Bombyx mori: one gene and its partners. The protein of the gene in region 1 purifies or fractionates together with the protein of each later gene. This does not show direct contact. Links are inferred from orthologs where the notes say so. Each region holds a gene or a part of one and is shown on either strand. Other genes may lie near its edges. The genes, in order: clusterin-associated protein 1, intraflagellar transport protein 57 homolog and intraflagellar transport protein 46 homolog.

What was found.
Region 2: the proteins of clusterin-associated protein 1 (region 1) and intraflagellar transport protein 57 homolog purify together in Homo sapiens (affinity purification with mass spectrometry; 4 studies listed by BioGRID and IntAct, counting the BioPlex papers as one, with this or other methods). This does not show direct contact. The link is inferred for Bombyx mori from reciprocal best matches to the Homo sapiens genes CLUAP1 and IFT57.
Region 3: the proteins of clusterin-associated protein 1 (region 1) and intraflagellar transport protein 46 homolog purify together in Homo sapiens (affinity purification with mass spectrometry; 3 studies listed by BioGRID and IntAct, with this or other methods). This does not show direct contact. The link is inferred for Bombyx mori from reciprocal best matches to the Homo sapiens genes CLUAP1 and IFT46.

What each region holds. Positions count from the first base shown.
Region 1 is NC_085123.1:633,287-640,833, forward strand, and holds the start of clusterin-associated protein 1, read left to right. Parts: upstream 1-1,552; coding exon 1,553-1,574; intron 1,575-1,949; coding exon 1,950-2,146; intron 2,147-6,573; coding exon 6,574-6,741; intron 6,742-7,433; coding exon 7,434-7,529; intron 7,530-7,547. UniProt on the Homo sapiens protein: Required for cilia biogenesis. Appears to function within the multiple intraflagellar transport complex B (IFT-B). Key regulator of hedgehog signaling.
Region 2 is NC_085120.1:9,283,273-9,290,819, reverse strand, and holds intraflagellar transport protein 57 homolog, read right to left. Parts: upstream 3,796-7,547; 5' UTR 3,724-3,795; coding exon 2,602-3,723; 3' UTR 633-2,601; downstream 1-632. UniProt on the Homo sapiens protein: Required for the formation of cilia. Plays an indirect role in sonic hedgehog signaling, cilia being required for all activity of the hedgehog pathway.
Region 3 is NC_085131.1:2,011,663-2,019,109, forward strand, and holds part of intraflagellar transport protein 46 homolog, read left to right. Parts: intron 1-25; coding exon 26-152; intron 153-1,034; coding exon 1,035-1,200; intron 1,201-4,713; coding exon 4,714-4,880; intron 4,881-5,650; coding exon 5,651-5,754; intron 5,755-6,688; coding exon 6,689-6,801; intron 6,802-7,447. UniProt on the Homo sapiens protein: Forms part of a complex involved in intraflagellar transport (IFT), the bi-directional movement of particles required for the assembly, maintenance and functioning of primary cilia. May play a role in chondrocyte maturation and skeletogenesis.

The DNA of each region.
Region 1 (7,547 bases):
AAGTGAGTAACACTAAGCATTCTGTGTAACGCTCGTGAGCTTTAAGGAAAAACTTCGTTATCAGCTTATTTAAAATTATGAAAATATAGAGAGAGCAGAGGTTAGTACTTTAAAAGAAAATAAGTTACTAGAATTAAAAACAGTAGCGTCTGAATGGTGTATCTAATTCATATAATCATTTTAAATATTGCCTATCTTTACATTAAATTTAACATTTAAACATTAAATTTAAAACAATGATAATATTGAAATTTTGAAGGAAACATTTACGCTTTTCCACATCATTTTTCAATGAAATAATTAAGCGCCTGACAGCAATAACTTAGCAAATGACCACCAAAATGATTAATCATTACAATATTGCAGGAGTTTGTAAATTTAAACTGATCTCAATAAGAATGGAGTGAAAAATGATAATCTTTGTATATTTTTATTATTCAGAGAAGATCAAATAATAGCTTTGCAGTATACACATTGCATTAATTAAGTCGTTGGATGCGGAAGGCGGAGGACCGCATTATGTGGAAGGCATTGGGGAAGGCCTATGTCCAGCAGTGGGCAGATAAAGGCTGATGATGATGATGATGATGATGATTAATTATGCACAATAATTAATATTAATTATGCATTTAAGGGGCGTCTGAATAAGAGCTTTTATTATTAGTTGAGTGAGTGTTAGCATTGTTGTATTCTTATGAAAGCTACATTTTCCTCTAGTCGAGGGAGCACACGAGCTAATAGTGAGCTACAGCTCTTTTAACTATATGTGTAACTTGTATATCTTTTGTAGGAAAACTAAAGAAATAAAATTATTAAATTAGTAGTTCTCATAAGACAACACTATTTGTATGCCCAATTAGTATAAAACTGAGATAAATAATTCATGTTTTGTAGCGATTTATATAGGTACTATAAAAATAAAAATTGTTCGAAAATTTTTATGTTTATTTTTCACAAGTTTTATTTTGTGTGTACTTAGTGCGAGTTTTTTAACGTTCTCTATAGCGAAAGTTACTCAAACAGCGCCCCTAGCGGCAAACGTACGCAAACGTTCCAACTGCATACAAATTTGAGTTAACTTTTACGCTATCGAGAAAGTTAAAATAACCGCACTAAGCACACAGACGTCATTCGGCGACTTTAAATCCAAATTAATTAAATAATCGATTATGATTCTTCAACATGTGAATAATTACTTAATAGATTTATGGTTAGTATTCATAAAATTAGGGTTACCACCAGCATTGATTCCTAAAAAAATGTATGTGCCTAAATTTTTTTGTGTTCCTTTTTTTGCGATATTATTATTATTAGCTAGCTGGCTAATATGATTATGAAACTAATCTGCACTACTAAAAAAAGAGAATATTTTTCAAGGTAAGAACCACTGAAGTATAAAGGTCTATGGTAAGAACAGGTAATGTAACAGGTTATGTTATCAATGAGAAAGACGTTGTCATAGTAACGGCTTTTCACAACAAGTCTATCCTTAAGTGTTAGAACAGTGCTATTTTGTAAACACGGTAAAAACTGTTATTCCAGTGAGAACGACATGTCTTACCGTGATCTTAGAAGTGAGTTTTACAATTAGAAGAAAGTTTTTTGATTCTAATAAGATTAGGCTTGTTTGTACATCCTTTTATCCATTAAAAGTAGAAGAAATTTTATCGTGAAAATGAATGTAGAATTGGGATCGTGGCACATAAAATAAACTATCCACTGTTGCACTAATCATAGATTAGGTATACACTTAATATATTGCACTAATAATGAAAAATCAACTGACACCTTAGGCCTTGCTCATTCAATTGTCTTCGTCATCTTACTTTTCGCTGTCATTCTGTCTCTCATTCTCTTTCCCTTCCTTACCGTTTCCCTTCTCTCACATCTTAACGCTCCGTTCCATACTCTTCACTTCTTAACAATCCTTCATAAATGTAACATTAAAGATTTCAGCGAAGCCATGCGCGTGTTAGGCTTCCCGAAGCCAATATCCTTGGAGAGCTTCAGGATCCCGAACTGGGAACTGGTGGAGGAGTGTCTCCGCTGGCAGGCGGCGAGGGTCGACCCCGACGCCGTCCTGGCCGGCGGCCGGGGCAGCGTGGAGCAGCGCGTGTCCATAGTGACGCACGCGGTGTCTCTGTTTGTAAGTTTAGTGTGCCTCATTATTTTGCATTGGAATGCTTATACATTGCATAGACCGCCCCCGATGCGTCAAGTGTTTAGGCGATCACGCCACGGCCCTATGCACTCGCGATAAAAAAACCGCTACGGAACCGCCTAGCTGCGTCCTGTGTCAAACACAGGGTCACCCCGCAAATTACCGCGGATGCCCCCGAGCCCCGAAAATAAATCGCCGCGTCACCCGCCAAAACCGCCTCCGAGCTTTCGGCCCAGACATCAAAGCCTCGGCACCCTCTGCGTCGCAGGCTAAGCCAGCGTTCGTTCCGGCGGCGGTGCCCAGTGTCTCGGCCTGGGCGAAACCGCTGCCGTACACGAACACGGCTACAACTCCCTCCTCCGCGATTCGTCCCGCCCTCGCGACTCGTCCCTCTCCCGCGACTTGCCCTCCGACCGCGTCCGAAAATCTCGCTTTAGCGATCGACTTCTTTCAGTTGATCAACTTTGAGCGCGTTAACGCTTTGGGCGACGCCATTCGCGCTGCCTCCACTGCACAACACTTTATCGCCGTTGTGCAAGAATACGCCGACGTATACGCGTCATTAAATACGTACGTCCTCCCCTCACTCCGCCGGTAATCAATGGCGTATATAAGTAGATTAAAGCCCCTATCCGTAACGATAGGATTTTTTAACGCTTACGGTCTCGCAAATCAACGTGATCAGGTTTCTGACTTTTTGCGTGACCATCAAATTGATATATTTTTAGTGCAGGAGACCCTACTTAAGCCCGCGCGCCGTGACCCTAAAATCGCGAACTATAACATGGTCAGGAACGACAGGCTCTCTGCCCGTGGTGGTGGTACCGTCATTTACTATAGAAGAGCCCTGCATTGCGTCCCGCTCGATCGTCCCGCGCTCGCTAATATCGAAGCATCAGTGTGCCGAATCTCACTGACGGGACACGCGCCAATCGTTATCGCGTCCGTTTATCTTCCACCGGATAAGATCGTTCTAAGCAGTGATATCGAGGCGCTGCTCGGCATGGGAAGCTCTGTCATTCTGGCGGGCGACTTAAATTGTAAACACATCAGGTGGAACTCACACACCACAACCCCGAATGGCAGGCGGCTTGACGCGTTAGTTGATGATCTCGCCTTCGATATCGTCGCTCCGCTAACCCCGACTCACTACCCGCTAAATATCGCGCATCGCCCGGATATACTCGACATAGCGTTATTAAAAAACGTAACTCTGCGCTTACACTCGATCGAAGTAGTTTCAGAGTTAGATTCAGACCACCGTCCTGTCGTTATGAAGCTCGGTCGCGCTCCCGATTCCGTTCCCGTCACGAGGACTGTGGTGGATTGGCACACGTTGGGCATCAGCCTGGCTGAATCTGATCCACCATCGCACCCGTTTAGCCCGGACTCTACCCCGTCTCCTCAGGATACCGCTGAAGCCATAAACATCTTAACGTCACACATCACCTCGACATTAGATAGGTCATCGAAACAAGTTGTAGCGGAGGACTTCCTTCACCGCTTCAAATTGTCCGACGATATTAGGGAGCTCCTAAGAGCTAAGAACGCCTCAATACGCGCCTACGACAGGTATCCTACCGCGGAAAATCGTATTCGAATGCGTGCCCTACAACGCGACGTAAAGTCTCGCATCGCCGAAGTCCGAGATGCCAGATGGTCTGATTTCTTAGAAGGACTCGCGCCCTCCCAAAGGTCTTACTACCGCTTAGCTCGTACTCTCAAATCGGATACGGTAGTAGCTATGCCCCCCCTCGTAGGCCCCTCAGGCCGACTCGCGGCGTTCGATGATGACGAAAAAGCAGAGCTGCTGGCCGATACATTGCAAACCCAGTGCACGCCCAGCACTCAATCCGTGGACCCTGTTCATGTAGAATTAGTAGACAGTGAGGTAGAACGCAGAGCCTCCTTGCCACCCTCGGATGCGTTACCACCCGTCACCCCGATGGAAGTTAAAGACTTGATCGAAGACCTACGTCCTTGCAAGGCTCCCGGTTCCGACGGTATATCCAACCGCGTTGTTAAACTTCTACCCGTCCAACTCATCGTGATGTTGGCATCTATATTCAATGCCGCTATGGCGAACTGTATCTTTCCCGCGGTGTGGAAAGAAGCGGACGTTATCGGCATACATAAACCCGGTAAACCAAAAAATCATCCGACGAGCTACCGCCCGATTAGCCTCCTCATGTCTCTAGGCAAACTGTATGAGCGTCTGCTCTACAAACGCCTCAGAGACTTCGTCTCATCCAAGGGCATTCTCATCGATGAACAATTCGGATTCCGTACAAACCACTCATGCGTTCAACAGGTGCACCGCCTCACGGAGCACATTCTTGTGGGGCTTAATCGACCAAAACCGTTATACACGGGAGCTCTCTTCTTCGACGTCGCAAAAGCGTTCGACAAAGTCTGGCACAACGGTTTGATTTTCAAACTATTCAACATGGGTGTGCCGGATAGTCTCATGCTCATCATACGGGACTTCTTGTCGAACCGCTCTTTTCGATATCGAGTCGAGGGAACCCGCTCCTCCCCACGACCTCTCACAGCTGGAGTCCCGCAAGGCTCTGTCCTCTCACCCCTCCTATTTAGCTTATTCGTTAACGATATTCCCCGGTCGCCGCCAACCCATTTAGCTTTATTCGCCGACGACACGACTGTTTACTATTCCAGTAGAAACAAGTCCCTAATCGCGAAGAAGCTTCAGAGCGCAGCCCTAGCCCTAGGACAGTGGTTCCGAAAATGGCGCATAGACATCAACCCAGCGAAAAGTACTGCGGTGCTATTTCAGAGGGGAAGCTCCACACGGATTTCCTCCCGTATTAGGAGGAGGAATCTTACACCCCCGATTACTCTCTTTAGTCAATCCATACCCTGGGCCAGGAAGGTCAAGTACCTGGGCGTTACCCTGGATGCATCGATGACATTCCGCCCGCATATAAAATCAGTCCGTGACCGTGCCGCGTTTATTCTCGGTAGACTCTACCCCATGATCTGTAAGCGGAGTAAAATGTCCCTTCGGAACAAGGTGACACTTTACAAAACTTGCATAAGGCCCGTCATGACTTACGCGAGTGTGGTGTTCGCTCACGCGGCCCGCACACACATAGACACCCTTCAATCTCTACAATCCCGCCTTTGCAGGTTAGCCGTCGGAGCTCCGTGGTTCGTGAGGAACGTTGACCTACACGACGACCTGGGCCTCGAATCTATACAGAAATACATGAAGTCAGCGTCGGAACGGTACTTCGATAAGGCTATGCGTCATGATAATCGCCTTATCGTAGCCGCCGCTGACTACTCCCCGAATCCTGATCATGCAGGAGCCAGTCACCGTCGACGCCCTAGACACGTCCTTACGGATCCATCAGATCCAATAACCTTTGCACTAGACGCCTTCAGCTCTAGGAGCAGGCTTAGGGACCTCGGTAACCGTACTCATCGAACTCGACAAAGAGTTCGCCGTGCAACCTAACCCATGAATCAGCTCGCTGAGTTTCTCGCCGGATCTTCTCAGCGGGTCGCGATTCCGATCCGGTAGTAGATTCATTCGCGAAGCAGCTACTCTTGAGTTGTTAGGTCTCCTTCGGAGGCGCTCGGGTAGCTGTTAGCAAATCCCACCCCTCCTGGCTGAGCCTTTGCTCGCCCACCTGTCCTGGTGAAACTGGAAAGGCCTCCGGGCCACCAGTAATCCTTCAATCATAAAAAAAAAAAAACATTGCATAGACAGGAGAACGAATATAACCGATCAGTTATACCTAGGTACATCAGTACGTGAATGCCGTCACCTACCTTGAGACATGATGTTCAAGCTACAATTGTATAATATAACAGCTGTCCCACCTTTTTATTTTCCTTTACTTATTCGCTGGTAGCTTAAGAGACTATTCGAGCTACGCCCGGACGGGTAGGAGAGCTCACAAGAGCAGCGCTTCGCAGAATCTACCACTGGATCGGACCCTTCGAACCGGATGGCATCACTGCTTTTCGGCAGAAATAGACAAGTTAGGCTTACAAGAGGCACCGCCATCAGTGTAACTACGCAAAAAAAGAAAAAAACGTTATTATTCTTGTTATGACCTTCATTGTGCAAGTTATTCACGAACATGACTAAAGTACTCATTTCATTAATGTCTACAAGTGTTACTGTGAATATTCTTAATTTGCGTCTGGCCCACATCATGGAAAAAGTTCAGTCGTTCGTAGCTACGGATAATAATATTGCCAGGGGCAACTAGACACTCGCCTGCCTACCATGATGTGGAGTTTCTTAGCGTTTACCTACATTAAATATTTAATTATCTTATGACAAGACGAACAACAATATTCACCTAATAATAATATTAAACAAGATGCCATTTGCTTCTCTAAGTTTAAAAAATATAGTTGAAAACTTATGCAATTGACAGCACTCCCGAGCGAATCTTAAACTAAACGGCAAGAAGTTGTACGGTGCTGATGGCTGGGCCGTGCGTGAGTTGCTGAAGGTGGCGACCTTGTTGAGAGCAGCCTTGGAGTCACCGGGCTCTGAAGACCAGTCCGATTCAACTCCGCTGTCTTATGACATCAGTAATAGGGTCAGTAGTAAGATCCCGCGTGTTACGAGAATTCTGTAGACTTTTTTACTTTTTGTCTTTTTGTACATTTTTTTATTAGTTGTACGTAAGATTTTGAGAACCGGCTCGTTTTAAAATCGCCATCCCTAATGCTACCAAATAGTTCTTTTACAAAGAACACGGGAACGGTTAGCGATTCAGAGACGGTACTAAAATTTTTATCATCAATAAAAAAATTATATTTACATGTACCTTTTTATTTATTTATTTTTTATTGCTTATATGGGTGGACGAGCTCACAGCCCACCTGGTGTTAAGTGGTTACTAGTGCCCATGGACATCTACAACGTAAATGCGCCACCCACCTTGAGTTATAAGTTCTTAGGTCTCAAGTATAGTTACAACGGCTGCCCCACCCTTCAAACCGAAACGCATTACTGCTTCACGGCGGAAATAGACAGGGTGGTGGTACCTACCCGTGCGGACTCCCAAGAGGTCCTACCACCAGTAAACCTATCTACCTATCGTTATCGTCAACGTTTATCTTAAAATGTGAAGTCTTCGTCTATTTGCACTAAGCACTTGGTCGACTGGATGCTGTGCGTCTTCCGAGGTTCGATGAAAGCAAAGCAACGTGAGAGATACAACCAATCAAATATAAAAACAGATTATTTTATTGTCGGGATCGAAAAAAATCTCATTCTTCATTCCAGTTGGGGGAAATAAAACAAGCTCGTGCTTTAGCTACGGAAATTACCGCTCAAGGCGCTTTCCTATACGACTTACTGACTAAGGAACCTGAGAATAAGGTACATTTTTCATTCTGC
Region 2 (7,547 bases), on another chromosome or scaffold:
ACATCAACGAAGTAAATGCCGTAATGCAACTGGACACGTGTACTAAGTCACAGTTATATACTATAATAATATGCGTTGTTTGATTATTATTATTTTTTTATTATTCAAAATTTTTTTCTGTTATATATTAGAGCTTATAAAATATATTGTGTGTTGGCTAAAGTTAACGCAAGCAGAGACATCTGGAAATAAAACCCGAAAAAATTTAATATAAAAATAAAATAATAATAAATACAGTTTTTGTTTTCGTTCAAACGTAAATTCCAAAAAAAATAATTACATCTTGTCAAAACTGTATTTTTTTTTCTTCGGTTTGTATTTTAAAATGTCTTTTGCTATGACTGTATGTTAGCTTGGCATGCAACATCCGCAGTAACGTAAGTATTTAAAATAAATCCATAATATATTATTTATTTTGTGCAATACATCATAGCATGATAGCTTTAAAGAAACACTATAAAAAAATGATGGTTTTATAAATTAAAAACGTTTCTGACAACTTCGTGGTGTTTCTATTATTAAATTCTAGAAGTTATCGAACATTCTTCGATTGATTTATATTGAGAATAATTCATTTTTATTGTTAATATGTTGTCACTACTGAAAATAAATGTATTCAATAAACCACCAAAAGTGTATTATTTTATTTTTATTGATAATAATAATAATAATAATAACTCTTTATTTATATAACACCTTAATATGTACACAGTAAAGTAACAAAACAAAAGTCGGTATATAAATCGGCGGCCTTATCGCTGAAAGCGATCTCTTCCAGGCAACCTTGCAGGGAGAGGAATAAGTTAACTGGACGGTGCTATATCTTAATAAACTTACATAAAAATATATACTTAAATACACATGTGAAAAATAAATACCATATAAGATAAACTTACATACGATTAAATACAAATAAATACTAAAAATATACAAGATAAAATACAAAAGAAGTAGGAACTTATACAGTTATATCATAGAAGCAAAGTAGTGCGATTTCAATCTGGACTTGAAAATTTCCGGCGAGGAAGATAGTTTAACGCTTAAGGGTAACGCATTCCATAAACGGACAGCCTCAACCGCAAAGGAATGGTCATAAAATGACGTCAATACTACTTGTACAATACTTTTTGTAATACAATATTTAAGTCGCAATTCAAAAATCTAACAGATATTAATTAATATATCTTTTACAGTTTAATATCGCGTTTTTTTTTTCTTCATTGTATCGTGGGGTGACAGGTTATTTGGCTCGACATTTATCGATGTAACTAAAGGTCCGTTTTATTTGGTATTAGCATCAACACTTCGATGTTTTTATTCAATTAAGTTTACCCCAATCAAATAGCTAAAGAAGTTTTTTTGGTATGATATTTTTTCCAAATTTTAAACTTTGAATATGAGTCCTGTAAAGTTGCAAATATGTCGCTGAAACCAAATAGCCTCTCACTCCTAGAATTATTATATCCGACGCTTCGAATACTTTGAGGGGGAAGAGGTCATGGATGGAGTGTGTGAATGACGATATGAGAGAGAGAGAGAGAGAGAGAGAGGAGTGAGTGTTGAGATGACGGCTGATAGAAGAGAATGGAAGAGAAAAATTTGCTGTGCCGACCCCACCTAGTGGGATAAGGTAGAGAAAAAGAAAAAGAGTTTCGAATACTTTTACAGTTGTCGTGGCCCGACGTCCGTGTAAAAAAAAACTATGAAAAGCATATTATATTAAATCGTAGAATTAATTTTAATTATGTCTACGACTCGAGAAAACCGTATAAAACGCTGATAGGTATTTATTTATAGCCCACCAATATAAAAATTAATGTCATCAAAATTTACAATTTTTTTTCTGATCCTTCTTGATCGTGTTCTTCTTTTAACTGAGGTCGTCGATTTTCAGCAACTCTAAGAGCTGAAGTGAGGTAGGCCAATGAATGTCTTCATTTGGTAAAAGCAAGGGCATCTATGAGGCCTTTTGCAATTTACTTTAGCCACAACGCCACCAGTTTGTGACAATTGTTAGGTTCCTAACTGACAATATGACCAAAGTAGCCTAGTAGTACAAAGAAGAGTTTGCATACATGAGACAAAATAAATCTTAAAAAACTACAAACAGTTATTGAAACAAGACATTAATACATTTCATGTCTTATAAATGCATTGTTCGGTAGTCCAATAAAGTCGGGCAAAATAGTCGTATTAAACCATACATTGCATTCAACAAATAACAAACCATTTCGTTTTGACAGAATTATTTTGTTGAGACTGCTTAGTGGCAAACCTTGGATTCGATTTGCCAACATTAATAGCGACACACCAAAAACTTCGTACAAATACTGTATCAATCTAAAATAATAATTAACTAGCTGAACCCCTCCGCTTCGCTGGGCATTTAAACATTATTATTTCTCAACCCCACAAAAATTCTCATCATTAACGCCCCCGCAACTGGTGTAGGGAGTCCAACACATCAATGTTAGCCTATCCATTAAGTACATGTATTATCTACATGGATACCAAGTTTCAAGTCAATCGGATGCACGGTTCAGTAGTTATAACGGAACATCCGTAAAAACCACTAGATTGATGTATTAGTATAGATTGTATTTAGTACACTTCGTTGGCAATCATCCCAGATTCCTTGTTATTAAGTAAACTGTTGCCATTCGATTCCTTTGTTGTCAGAAGCCACAGCAACACCGTGATCTGAAAGTCCATTTCCTGTATATCTTTCTTCAAGGTCGCGACAGCTTTCTTTGCTGTAACTAGAGGAGAATTGTCGTTCATCGAGGACCCTTTAGATTCGGTTCTTTGTTTAATATTCTCTAGCTTTGTTGAAAGCTCGTTCAACATGTCTTGCCTTTCAGTGATACCTACACTGGCCTCTTTATATTCATTTGACACTTTGTTTAGTTCGTCGAGTAGAGAACCATATTCTTTGACAAGAGGCTCGAATTGCTCATTCAATATATTCTCCCTGGCCGTTACCTTATCCATAGCCGATGAAATGCTACTGTGCAATTTATTCAGCTGGGTTCCCGTTGTTTTAAATCTATCGAATAACTCTTCTTTGTAACTCCTCATCTGTGCATGTCTCGCTCGCCAGTCGCGTCCATCGGCGGATATCTTCAATCTTAGAGCCGGAGCGACCCTTTCCAATTCCAACTTCCACGCTTCCCAATCGTGAACCTTTTGGGCTATGTTACTTGGTTCTTTTTCGTCTGCATTAATATCTCCTTCAGATTCATCAGAATAAATGGGCATTTCATCTTCAACTTTGTCCAGTAATATTTCGGTTTCGTCTTCAACTTGATCAATGTCATCAACCGACTCTTCTGATTCTGGTATGTCAACAACTGGTTTTTGCCATTCAAAGTTTTCTTTTTTCAATGCTTCATCTGCGAGAATATTCAGGATACTACAAACTTGATCGCCCCATCCTTGTTTTAGTTTATGCGAAGAGAAATCTACATTAACTTCGTTTTCTTTGAGTACATCAATTACTGCAGCTATGATTGTGTTAGGATCGTCCTCTTCGTTGGGCTGAGCGAAATCCTTGCCACACTTCCTTATCAACCAGGCCGCTGTCGAGGCAAACACGAAAAACTGTTCGTTCGGATTAGTGGACGTCACGAAATAATATCGACTCAACGGTTTCATTTTTATCTGGGGACGCAGATCCGTGTCGATTTTTAATAAACGTAATTTATCCATAAGTCTTAAATCCATGTTGATAATGTTTGAATTACGCTAAAAGTAATGCGTGATTGTTTTGAAGTGCTTCGCTACGGTTGCTATGGTGATCAGTCCACCGCTTAAATGTGAAGTGTATTTATTATCTATGGTCTACAGTTCGTTGGTAAACATAGATATTACGCTAATATTAGATTTGTAAATGCACTGAATTTCAAGGAACTACACAAATTCCAGAAATAAGTGATAGGTACATCGAAAAATAAATGAAATAACAACTTCTTGCTGCCGGTTCGGGCTCATATGTCAAGACGATTGAACGATTTTAAACTGGTAGTAGGACCTTGGGAGTCCGCACGGGTAGGTACCACCACCCCGCCTATTTCCGCCGTGAAGCAGTAATGCGTTTCGGTTCGAAGGGTGGGGGTAGCCGTTGTAACTATACTTAGAACTTATATCTCGAGGTGGGTGGCGCATTTACGTTGTAGATGTCTATGGGCTCCAGTAACCACTTAACACCAGGCGGACTGTGAGCTTGTTCATCCATATAAGCAATAAAAAAAAACCTTTTCTGTATTCTTGGTTCTAAACAAGTTAGTTTCCTTATATCAAGTCGGTTTATTAATACAGAAGCTCTGATACTCATTTTCTACGCTTGTATTATTATTACAAACGTTGGGAACAATACTACGCATTCTCTCACCCATGTTTGGATATCGGTATGATTAATTTTAATTAAACCATTGTTAAACTAAGATTCATTAATAATTTTGAAACGGTTGTGTTCATCAATTTGCTGAACATATTCTCTGGTGCGTACTCAACAAGAAATTAACTGTGTCTATGAGACATGAAAATGAACTTAATGTAAAACGAAATGTACTAGTGAAGATGAGATTGGAAGCTGTAGTGGTAGCGGTAAGCAGCGGCTTGGCTCTGCCCCTGGGATTGCTGAAGTCCACGGGCGACGTTAACCAACCACTCACAGGTGGGCCGTATGCTCGTCTGCCTATAAGGGCAATAAAAACAAAGAAAAAAAAGCTGCTAATATTAAAATTAACAGAGCAACAATTGGCCGATTAACGCACCGTCGCGGTTTTCGCAAATTAATATTTTTTTTTATCACACGATTTTATTGCATCACTTTGGGAGGCATACACGAAAACGTGTTATGTACGTATTTCATTACAAAAATGTTTATCTGCCTGCGGTATTGGAACACTGGCATGGTTGCATCGTTCGATACTAGTAAGAGCGTCTTATCTAGGCCACGACAATTCCAATGACTGCAAGATGCTCTGCCACCAATACTTTAGATAGAAACTAGAAGGTTATACGTAATTACGGTTTCGCCCGATCCATTAACGGTGCTTTTAGGTACCTACCTCAAGCACCGGTCACCGTCCTCATCGGACCCGTCGCTTACGACGAAGGACTCGACGAATGAATTAACCCATAGACATAGCCCACTGAGTTTCTCGCCGAATCATTTTAGTGGGTCGCGTTTCAGATCCGGTAGTAGATTCTGCAAAGCACTACTCTTGCTAGGGCCCTTGTTAGCAGCACTCCCGGTTTGAGCCCCGTGACCTCACCTACACGTCAAGGAGAAGCTGAATAGCCTCTCCAGGCTATCAGCATAAGTAGGAAAAAAACAAAAATGTTAAGAATTAGGCAGTGGGAAAATAAATTAGAGTATTTTAACCGTGAAGGGATGGCAGGAAAATTCTAGCAGTGCTTCAAGAAAGCCAGAATTGTTTACCCGTACATCCTAATTATTGATAGCAGTTACATTGATCGTTAAAATCCTCTGAGCATACCTATCTGGTAATCTTTTTATACAGAGGCTCATACAGGAACTTATGGGAAGTGGTCACAGTCGTTTATGGACTTCAGCAATAGCAGGGGAACAACTATGATTTGGTTGTTTGAAAATGATCTTTCCACGCCCCATAAAACTTCGAATCTCAAGAGAGTTCATCCCTCGCTGACGTTGGATAAAATGCTACGCATATACTGGAATGAGCACTGAACCAATTTATCTATGCTTCATAAAACTTTTTGCTTAGATAGACTTAGGATAGGACTTACTGGTGGTAGGACCTCTTGTGAGTCCGCACAGGGATAGTACCACCACTCTGCATATTTCTGTCGTGAAGCAGTACTGCATTTCGGTTTGAAGGGTGAGGCAGCCGTTGTAATTATACTGAGACACCTGGTGGGCTGTGAGCTCGTCCAACTATCTGAGCAATAAAAAAATCTAGTGAAGTAGCAAAAAACAGTAATTCAAGAAATACAAAATGTGATAGCAACTCGGAACTATTCGGAGCCAAGCTAAATTACTAAACATTATATCAGTGCACCTCAAAATAATTCCATCAGTACAACCGACTGGAACGGAGTGCCTCATTAGTAGGCCGTGCGCATATGAGAGCCGTCTGATCCTTATAAAATAAAATAAAAAAAATCCTCAATAAAGACCGGCTTTATCTCGTATTACTGGCACGATAAAATTAGAAACATTCGCGTCCACCGCGTGCTGCTTCAGAACTTCAGTTCAGTCGCGGCCCGGCGTTCGTTAGAGACGATCGTGTGTCCTTAAACAAACCGACGTAACTCACAAAATAGTTATTCTTTTATTGTCGCCGCGTCACGTGTCTTGACTGTTCTGTGCCAGTGGATGTTCAGCTCAGTGGAAATATCAATATAATATCGGATGCGCGCGAGTGTAATGTGAATTCGTTCATCGAAGGTGAGTTCGTGTTGTATTAAATCGTTTTTAACATCGCTAATCCTGTTCGGTCGAAGTTTTGAGGCTTTACCGAATTGGACTTGGCTAGTCAAATCAAGTTTTTGCGTTATCACAACTAGGTGGGTTCGTGTAAATGCCAAATATGGACCTTAAAAGACTTAATAAGGGAATCTCGAGACAACTCAACGCATTTATATGAATTGGCGTGAACATGTGATTTAATAAAAGCGTATTTAAAAGGGCCTAAATCGAAGGTGCCGTGAAGCAAAGAACAAGGCCTAAGCCTACAGTTCCACCGTTACAAAATATGTAAAGTATACGTCGCATTCCACACAGAATTCATGACGTGGAAATCACATAATAATGTTCCAAAAGTAGATAAAAACTTTTTGTACTTACACTTTTCCCAATTAACCAATTTTGATAAGTAAAGTGAATTCATTATTAAATCCACTTCTCTGGTATTTTCTACATACCAAATTCCCTGCAAAAGATACAATTGCAGTGTTAGCACGTACGGGTTGCTACAATCATCCTACCTATTCCTGCCACGAATCAGTTATGCGTTCCGGCTCGAAGATGGGGAGTGCTAACACTGCTAACACGAACCCTAGCAAGAGCCGTGCTTCGCAGAATCTACCACCGGATTAGACCGATTAGCAACGTCGTCAGGTTTGAGCACCGTGAGCTCACCTACTAGTTAAGGTTCCGCTGAAATAGCCTCTCAAGGCTCTCAGCTAGGTAGAAAAAAAAAGGGAGTGCTGTTATAAAACGAGATATCGACCGTATATCTCAAGGTGGGTAAAGGAATTCGCGCTCTGATGTCTATGGACTTCAGTACCCATAGACACAGCCTACTGAATTTCTCGACGGATTTTCTCAGTTGGTCGCGATTCCGATTCGGTGGTAGAGTCGGCGAGCTACTCTTTGCTTGGGCTTGTGTTAGCAAATTCTCTCAGGTTGAGCCCGTGAGCTCACCTACCCGTCTGGGCGTAGCTGAAATAGCCTACTAGGCTACCAGCAAATAGGTAGATAAAAAGCTCCGGTAACCCCATCACGCCAGGTAGACCGTGATCTTGTTAACGTCTCTGATTGAAAAAAACAATAATAA
Region 3 (7,447 bases), on another chromosome or scaffold:
TGAAGATACAAGCATTATGTTTTAGGTACCAGACAAGAAGCCGCTTGTGCCCGAGAAAGCGAATGATGTCCAGAAAAACGTTACGAAGGTTACCAAGGCAGGCAGCGAGAGACCCAAAGCGTCCTCCAAACGTAATGATTCTTCTAATTCTGGTGAGTTAAAAAAATCAAATACTGCTACAGACCGCAGATAACAGTCTTTATACCTCTAAACCGATAGAGGTACTCACGTCCCACCTGGTGCTAAATGGTCACCGGAGCCCATAAGTCCTACGAACAAATGGTCTTGAAAAATAAAACCTCTAAGTGATGTTTAATAGTACACCGAAATAACCCAAACTATTCAAAAAGTCCAACTCTACCGTACAATAGACTGTCTTATCACTAAAACTGTAACTATACTGTGTAGGCTGTGAGCTCGTCCACTCATCCAAGCAATAAAAAAAAGTATAGGCTACTATATAAGGCCTTCAGCGCAAAAGTGGTCTAAGCTTACCTGAGCTTACTATAATAAGTATGGAGACAATGAGGTCTGAATTTGCTGACCTGTACTGACTGCCGACCGAACCTGTAGACCGAATGGTATACAGTCGACGTTGTCCAAAACACGTCATTACGGATCCTCCCGATCCATTAACGGTGCTTTTAGGTACTACAAGCACCGGTTACCGTCCTCGTCGAACCCGTCGCTTACGACGAAGGGCTCGACGAGCGAATTAACCCATAGACACAGCCCACTGAGTTTCTCGCCGAATCTTCTGAGTGGGTCGCGTTTCTGATCCGATGGTAAATTCTGCGAAGTAGTGCTCTTGCTAGGCCCGGTGTTAGCAACAGTCCGGTTTGAGCATCGTGAGCTCACCTACACGTTAGGGTGAAGCTGAAATAGCCTCTCAAGGCTATTAGCATAGGTAGGAAGAACAAAAAAACTACGAATATCAAATAATGTAGGATAGGCCACTTTTGTGCTGACGGCCTCATATATGGCACTATAGTATAGCGTAGTCTGAAATCAGCTTTAATCATCTTATAATTCAGAAACAGATAGCGGAGAAATGGAACGCGAGCGACCCGACCCCCTGATAGGCAGCGGTCGCAAGCGAGGCGGCGTCGTGATACCAGCTGAAGGCGCGTACGATCCCAAGCTGTATCAGGATCTGAAGGTTCCGCCTGAAATGGAAAACATCTTTCAGTATATTATGAAGTGAGAACCTATGTCTTTACAGTTTTCGTTTGCTGCACACGAGTTTCTTTGACTACGATGATAAGCATTTTCTGATGGCAAGTGATTGTGGACTCAATAGGCGTTTTGCCTTATGTGTATGCACAAACTTTACATACATTATATACGACCTGTACCCACTGCTGTCCCGTTCCATATATGTATACATATTCTTAAAATAATTATTGCACAGAAGAATGAAGTACCTTTGAAAATTAGGAGAATCTACTTTTACAACAAATTTGTAAAGTAAAATCGACAGTAAGAAACGCGAGATTAAACCGTAAAAATAGTTTTAAATCCGATTACGTCTCGCCGATACCGCAAAGTAAATAAGCTCAATGAAATAATTCTCATTTTCTTATTGTGAAAAAGTCGTTATATTAGTCCAGCCGGTCAAGTTTTAGAGTAAGAAAACAGTTAAATACGAAATATTGACTTCGACTTTGTTAAACAGGAATTTTAAATTCGACCCGGTGCAACACTATGCTACTGTAAATTTTATAGTAGTTTTTATATTTATGTACCAGCGGCCGGCGCGCTAATATGCGAATCCTCGGGCATTGATGACGTATATGTAACTGATCCATGTTACGAAAACGCTTTTTTTTGTCAGGAGGAAATCACCGGACTTCCGCCCTCCACTGGGGATGGAGGGCGGGGCATGTCGGAGTCGAACCGACTAAAGCCTCCTGTCGCTCAACAACCAGCATCCAAATCTCGCATGAGACATAACTAATGAAAAAGCAAAGGGGAGAAAGCAAAGCGTTTAGTGCGGAGCACATCTCTCCCATCACCCTCTCCCTCTTTTGTTGGTAGTCGGGTTTCAATATTTCCTTCGTGCTCTTTTCGAGATTGAATTTTTAAAAGCCAATTATTTATACTCCACTGCACCCGCGTTGGAACTTAATATGTGCCACGAGATATTTTCTCCGGTTAACGAGCGATTTTAGGTCATCAAAATAAAATTAGCAAAATGACTGTTGATTCTAGGACAGTGGGAGTTACGATAGTAATTATTGTGAACCCGTACGGGTAGATACCACTGCTCCGCTTATTTCTGCCGCCAAAGAACCACGGGTTCTGGTTTATAGAATAATCTGAACATTGTGTATCTGAAATTGTCTATTTTCCCGCTCAAATATTGTCCCAAAAACACAGCCCACTGAGTTTCTCGCCGGATCTTCTTAGTGGGTCGCGATTCCGATTCTGTGGTAGATTCTCCGAAACACCGCTCTTGCTAGGGCTAGTGTTAGCAATTTCTCTTAGGTTGATCCTCACCTATTCGTCCGCGAGAAGCTGGGATATCCCCTTAGGATGTCAGCAAATCGGTAGGTAGGGAAAAAAGCTCAAACATTGTTTGACATGTATCACGGTAAAAACATAAAGAAAAACAAAGACGAACGCATTCCTAAATTTTCATAGTTATCAAGATATCCCAGAACATCAATTATAAATTATTAACGGAATAGTTAGTGCGCTCTACATATCGTCCTTTAATGCGATATATCAAATTTACAGACATGTGGGCGAAACGCCTACAGTTTAACCTTGCTAGATCTAGAGTTAAACTAAAATTAACGGTTAACAACTCTTTAGTAATAGACATTAGGTCGAATTCGAGCTGGCAATTGAAATCTAATAAGATTATTAGCGTCAACCAGGTTAGGGTTTGCAGTGGTCCGAGGAAGGTTTATTTACTCTTTCAAAACCAATATTCGATTGTGTCTGTATTTGTAAAAACTAAGTTTACCTTTTTATCATCATAGTCGGTTGTTCTTGGCAGAGCAGTCGTGGTCATGTGGAATTCTTGTCTATCAAAGCCTTGACAGATATTCCCATAGTTTATAGATATATTTCCATAGTTTGCAAATTGAGGCTTGGCGCACGCACTCGTTAAGTGGGGTTTTAGTAAGGTCTTTCACCTGATCAGTCTAGCTTTACCTTTTAATGTTGTAAAAATAGGTTCCACTGCCTCAATGTTGAATTAAATGGATTTTACTCTTCAGGTAAGGAATTTAGGGAACCCGATATTTCAATGTAACAATACGTTTCGACTTTGTTTTTTGTATATCTACCGGTGGTCTCGAAGGGCCATTTTGGCTTCATCCTGGCTCATGGATGAGCTCACGAGGCTCAGCCTGAAAGAGTTTCGGAATATCTGTCCTAGAAAGAGCAGTGCTTCACTGCATCTAACATCGGATCGAAATCGCAACCCACTGAGAAGGTCAGGCGAGGAATTCTATGGGTTGTGTCTATGGATTAGGATGCACGTCGAACTCACGAGAAAAATGACCGGGAGAGAATCTGAAAGGACACCTTGGGCGAAGTCGACTCTTCGTTGTCCCGTTGTCTGAGTCGGGTTTGTAGTTAGCTGACATTTCGACAGTCTATGAATATGCTCCAAGTTTGTATTGTCTATAAGCTCCAGTACTGAAGAATCTGATTCGGTGTCCAGAGGGGGCCCCGGTCTGCTTCTTTCGAGACTCAAGCACCCCTTGTTGAGCTACAGGAGGCCTTAGCCGATTCAACCCCGACATACCACTCTTAAGGCAAACAGCACATAGGCGAATGCCCGGAGATTTCCTAAATCCAAACAAAAAGATCTCTAGCAACTGTTAAGTACCATAGATAATCTGTTAAAACATTTGAGTGAAGCATACAACTGTTGCTGCTATAGCCCTACTGGGAGCTAAATTTATAAAAGCGAAACCCGTCATATTGTTTAAGCGCGTGTATAATTCACAATATGTTATTGTACGTGAGCACGCGATCATACCTTGTATCACGAAAACTTGAAATCGCATATTTCCGGTAGAAAGATTTTTAATTTGATGGATTTTATTATTTTGTTTCTTTTTTTTTTTACAATATTCGCAACTCTAAGAGTATGTTTAATACTTTCACACGTTTCGTAGACCCGCAAGCTATATCGAACTAAAATTCGGCAGTCATCGAACCCGGGGTCAATGAACGCAAATTTTGTAAGTAAATCATGTTGATCTTGATTGATATCCCTCTCACAAAGTAGACCAATAAACGTCATGATCTTTGAGTGTGTTTCAAAGACTCCCAAATTACGAGATAGACTGCAGGGCCCCATCATATCAGATTCAGATTGGGACTAATACTTTTTGGCAGGTAGGGGTAGTATATTATTTCTGTTTCGGTTTACGACGGCGGCAAAATATCCTGCTATATATTTGTAATAAATGAAGGCAGCACAAACGAAAAGAAATTGCTAATCTAATTCATTTTCGTTAATTCATACTAAGAAACGAAGACAGCTCGACACTGGAGTTCGTTGACCGCACGCGGCAGCTGGTCTTAAATTGTGTTACATTGCGTAGAGTCGAATACACTTTATTAGAATACGGTTGTTTTGGTTGAGTTTATAGGATTTACATTTCCACTACACGTCATCTCCGGTTATAATGGACGGTTTTCATGGTTCTTTTCGATGAATATCTTTTACAAGATAAAAATCTCTTCTAGATACACACCGCAGAAGATAGACATTGACTTCAAGCTGCAACCGTTTGTGCCGGAATATGTGCCGGCTGTTGGTGACATTGACGCCTTCCTAAAGGTGACGACGCCGGCGTGCGACGTGCGAGGGGGCCAGCTAGCCGAACAAGTACTCGAACACATCGACAACTTGGGTAGGTTTTTGATGAGATTCAAAATAGATGGGAGAGTTGCTCAGATCGGCACGTTTGTTCTTAAATATTAAGTGTAATATCTATGGTTTCTGTGTTACCGTACTGCCAATTTCGCATTTAGACTTATAGTATGGAGGATAGAGGTAAGGAGAACCGGCTTATATGGGAGGAAGCTTGAAAGTGTCCCACTTTCAGCACTAAATAACAGTTAAAAATCCTCCAGAACACGTCGAACTCTTTGTCGAGTTCGCCGAGTACGGTTACCGGGGTCCCTAAGCCTGCTCCTAGTATTAGAGCTGAAGGCGTCTAATGCAAAGGTTATTGGATCTGATGGATCCGTAAGGACGTGTAATTCGGTCTATAGAGGATGGAGGTATGGAGAACATTCTCCGTTTGTGAAAAATTGTTCTTCAAAAAATTACCAAATTAGGGCGGCGCCACCGTAACTAGTGGTGTAATTGCAAAGAAAGCGTCAAAAGATATTCCATTACATTTTCGTTTACAACTTGTATATTCATATCAATTTCAGCACCATCGCCATTTTGGTAGATTTTTTGTAATTTCCTGCTACAGCTACAGCTGAGCTCTTTTTCATCTTGTCCTCGATATGAGGCAATTATCCTTACTTCTACCTTCCATAGTTCGTTTTTTTTTGGAGTTGATGACTTGGTGTCTGGCCAAAAATGTTATGTTCTAGGTTCTATAGTTCGTACGTACAGGGCAATGTTGCCAAGGTGGCGGAATTGTATGGAATATTTTGATGATTTCAGGGCTGACGGTACTGGACGAGCCGTCGGCCGAACAAAGCGACTCGGCGCTTTTACACTTGCAGCTGAGGGCTATATCGAAGACGAATCATTCTAAAACCACCGTGGTGTGTGTTTATAAGTATATTAATACGCTTTTATTAGCTTCAGACGTATATATGTTAGTATGTAACGGAATCTTTGAACATGATTTTGTTGACACACTTCAAAACGTCGGATTAACTCGAAATTTGGTATACTTATTATGGACCGATGACAATTAAAAAAAATAGGAAAAAATTGAAATTCAACTAAAAAAATAAAAATAAATAATAGTTAAAAAAAACTAACAAAATACGCTTTTATAGAAACTCCAACTAAAAAATTGAATTTTTTTTTTTATGAAATTTTGAATTAAAAATAGTGTACGGAAAAATGATTTTATTGTAAAAAAAAGCGTGGGGTGCATGTTATCAGTAGTTATAAATATTTTATGAACAGATATGAGTAGAAGGGTTATTTATTGATAAAAAATAGTGAACTCAGGGGCACGTTTGTTACTGTTGTTAAATATATGAACTCATCGCGGCCTAAAGGATAACGCGGCAGGTGTATTCGTATGGAGCGACGTGAGTGTGCCGGTGTTCGAATCCCGCAGGCGGGTACCAATTTTTCTAATGAAATACGTACTTAAAAATTGTTCACGATTGACTTCCACGGTGAAGGAATAACATCGTGTAATAAAAATCAAACCCGCAAAATTATAATTTGCGTAATTACTGGTGGTAGGACCTCTTCTTGTGAGTCCGCACGGGTAGGTACCACCGCCCTGCCTATTTCTGCCGTGAAGCAGTCCGTTTCGGTTTAAAGGGTGGGGCAGCCGTTGTAACTATACTGAGACCTTAGAAATCATATCTCAAGGTGGGTGGTGGCATTTACGTTGTAGATGTCTATGCTCCGGTAACCAATTAACATAGGGTAGGCCGTGAGCTCGTCCACCCATCTTATCGATAAATATAAAAAAAGAAGAAACCGAAGTACTATATCGATATTGTTGTTCAGTTGACGAAGAAGATTGACAATCCGGAGAGCAATCCCAAAGCGATCGACCGTTGGATCAAGGACGTGGCTGAGCTGCACCTCTCGAAGCCAGCGCCCACGGTCTCCTATACCAGGTGAGGCAGCTAAAGGAAATCAGGGCTTTTACATATTTTTTTTAAACACCCATCGTACCACTCGTCAGCGGAGCCATCCTTACTGCCTGGAATAATTCCGACCACAGTGCGTTTCCGTTTTTTTTTTTGTTGATGTCCATGTTGGCATTTGTGGCAATTCACCATCAGATTGGCTGTTGGCTGTTTCGTTTCGAAGACATTAAAAAAAAAAAGAATGTTTGCAATTGAGACGAATTTAAAATTTCGGGAAGAGGATAATTGTAGGTTTTAGTTAATGATCATAGTGATACACAAGTTCGATAATTATTTTACATTTTATTCGTATAATAATTACATAGATTTATTCAGAATGCATTAAGTCCGAATATTAGGTACGAAGCAAAGAGAACCACGAATATAAGAAACACTGTATAATGCTTCCTATCTCATTTTCTCCCACGTTAAATCTTATGAATTTATGTGTCTGTCTCTTTTTACTGTCGCTTTTTCGTTTCATCGACTTTCGAATCATAACGAGGCTAAAGAAGTTTTCGCTTCAAAAATATACCTTAACAAGTACTATTGTTTATTTGATAGTGTTGTCTGTTTGTTTTAGGATGGTGATTGATCATTTTGCCTTTACATTGTTTAGGTGGATAGGTTTGGG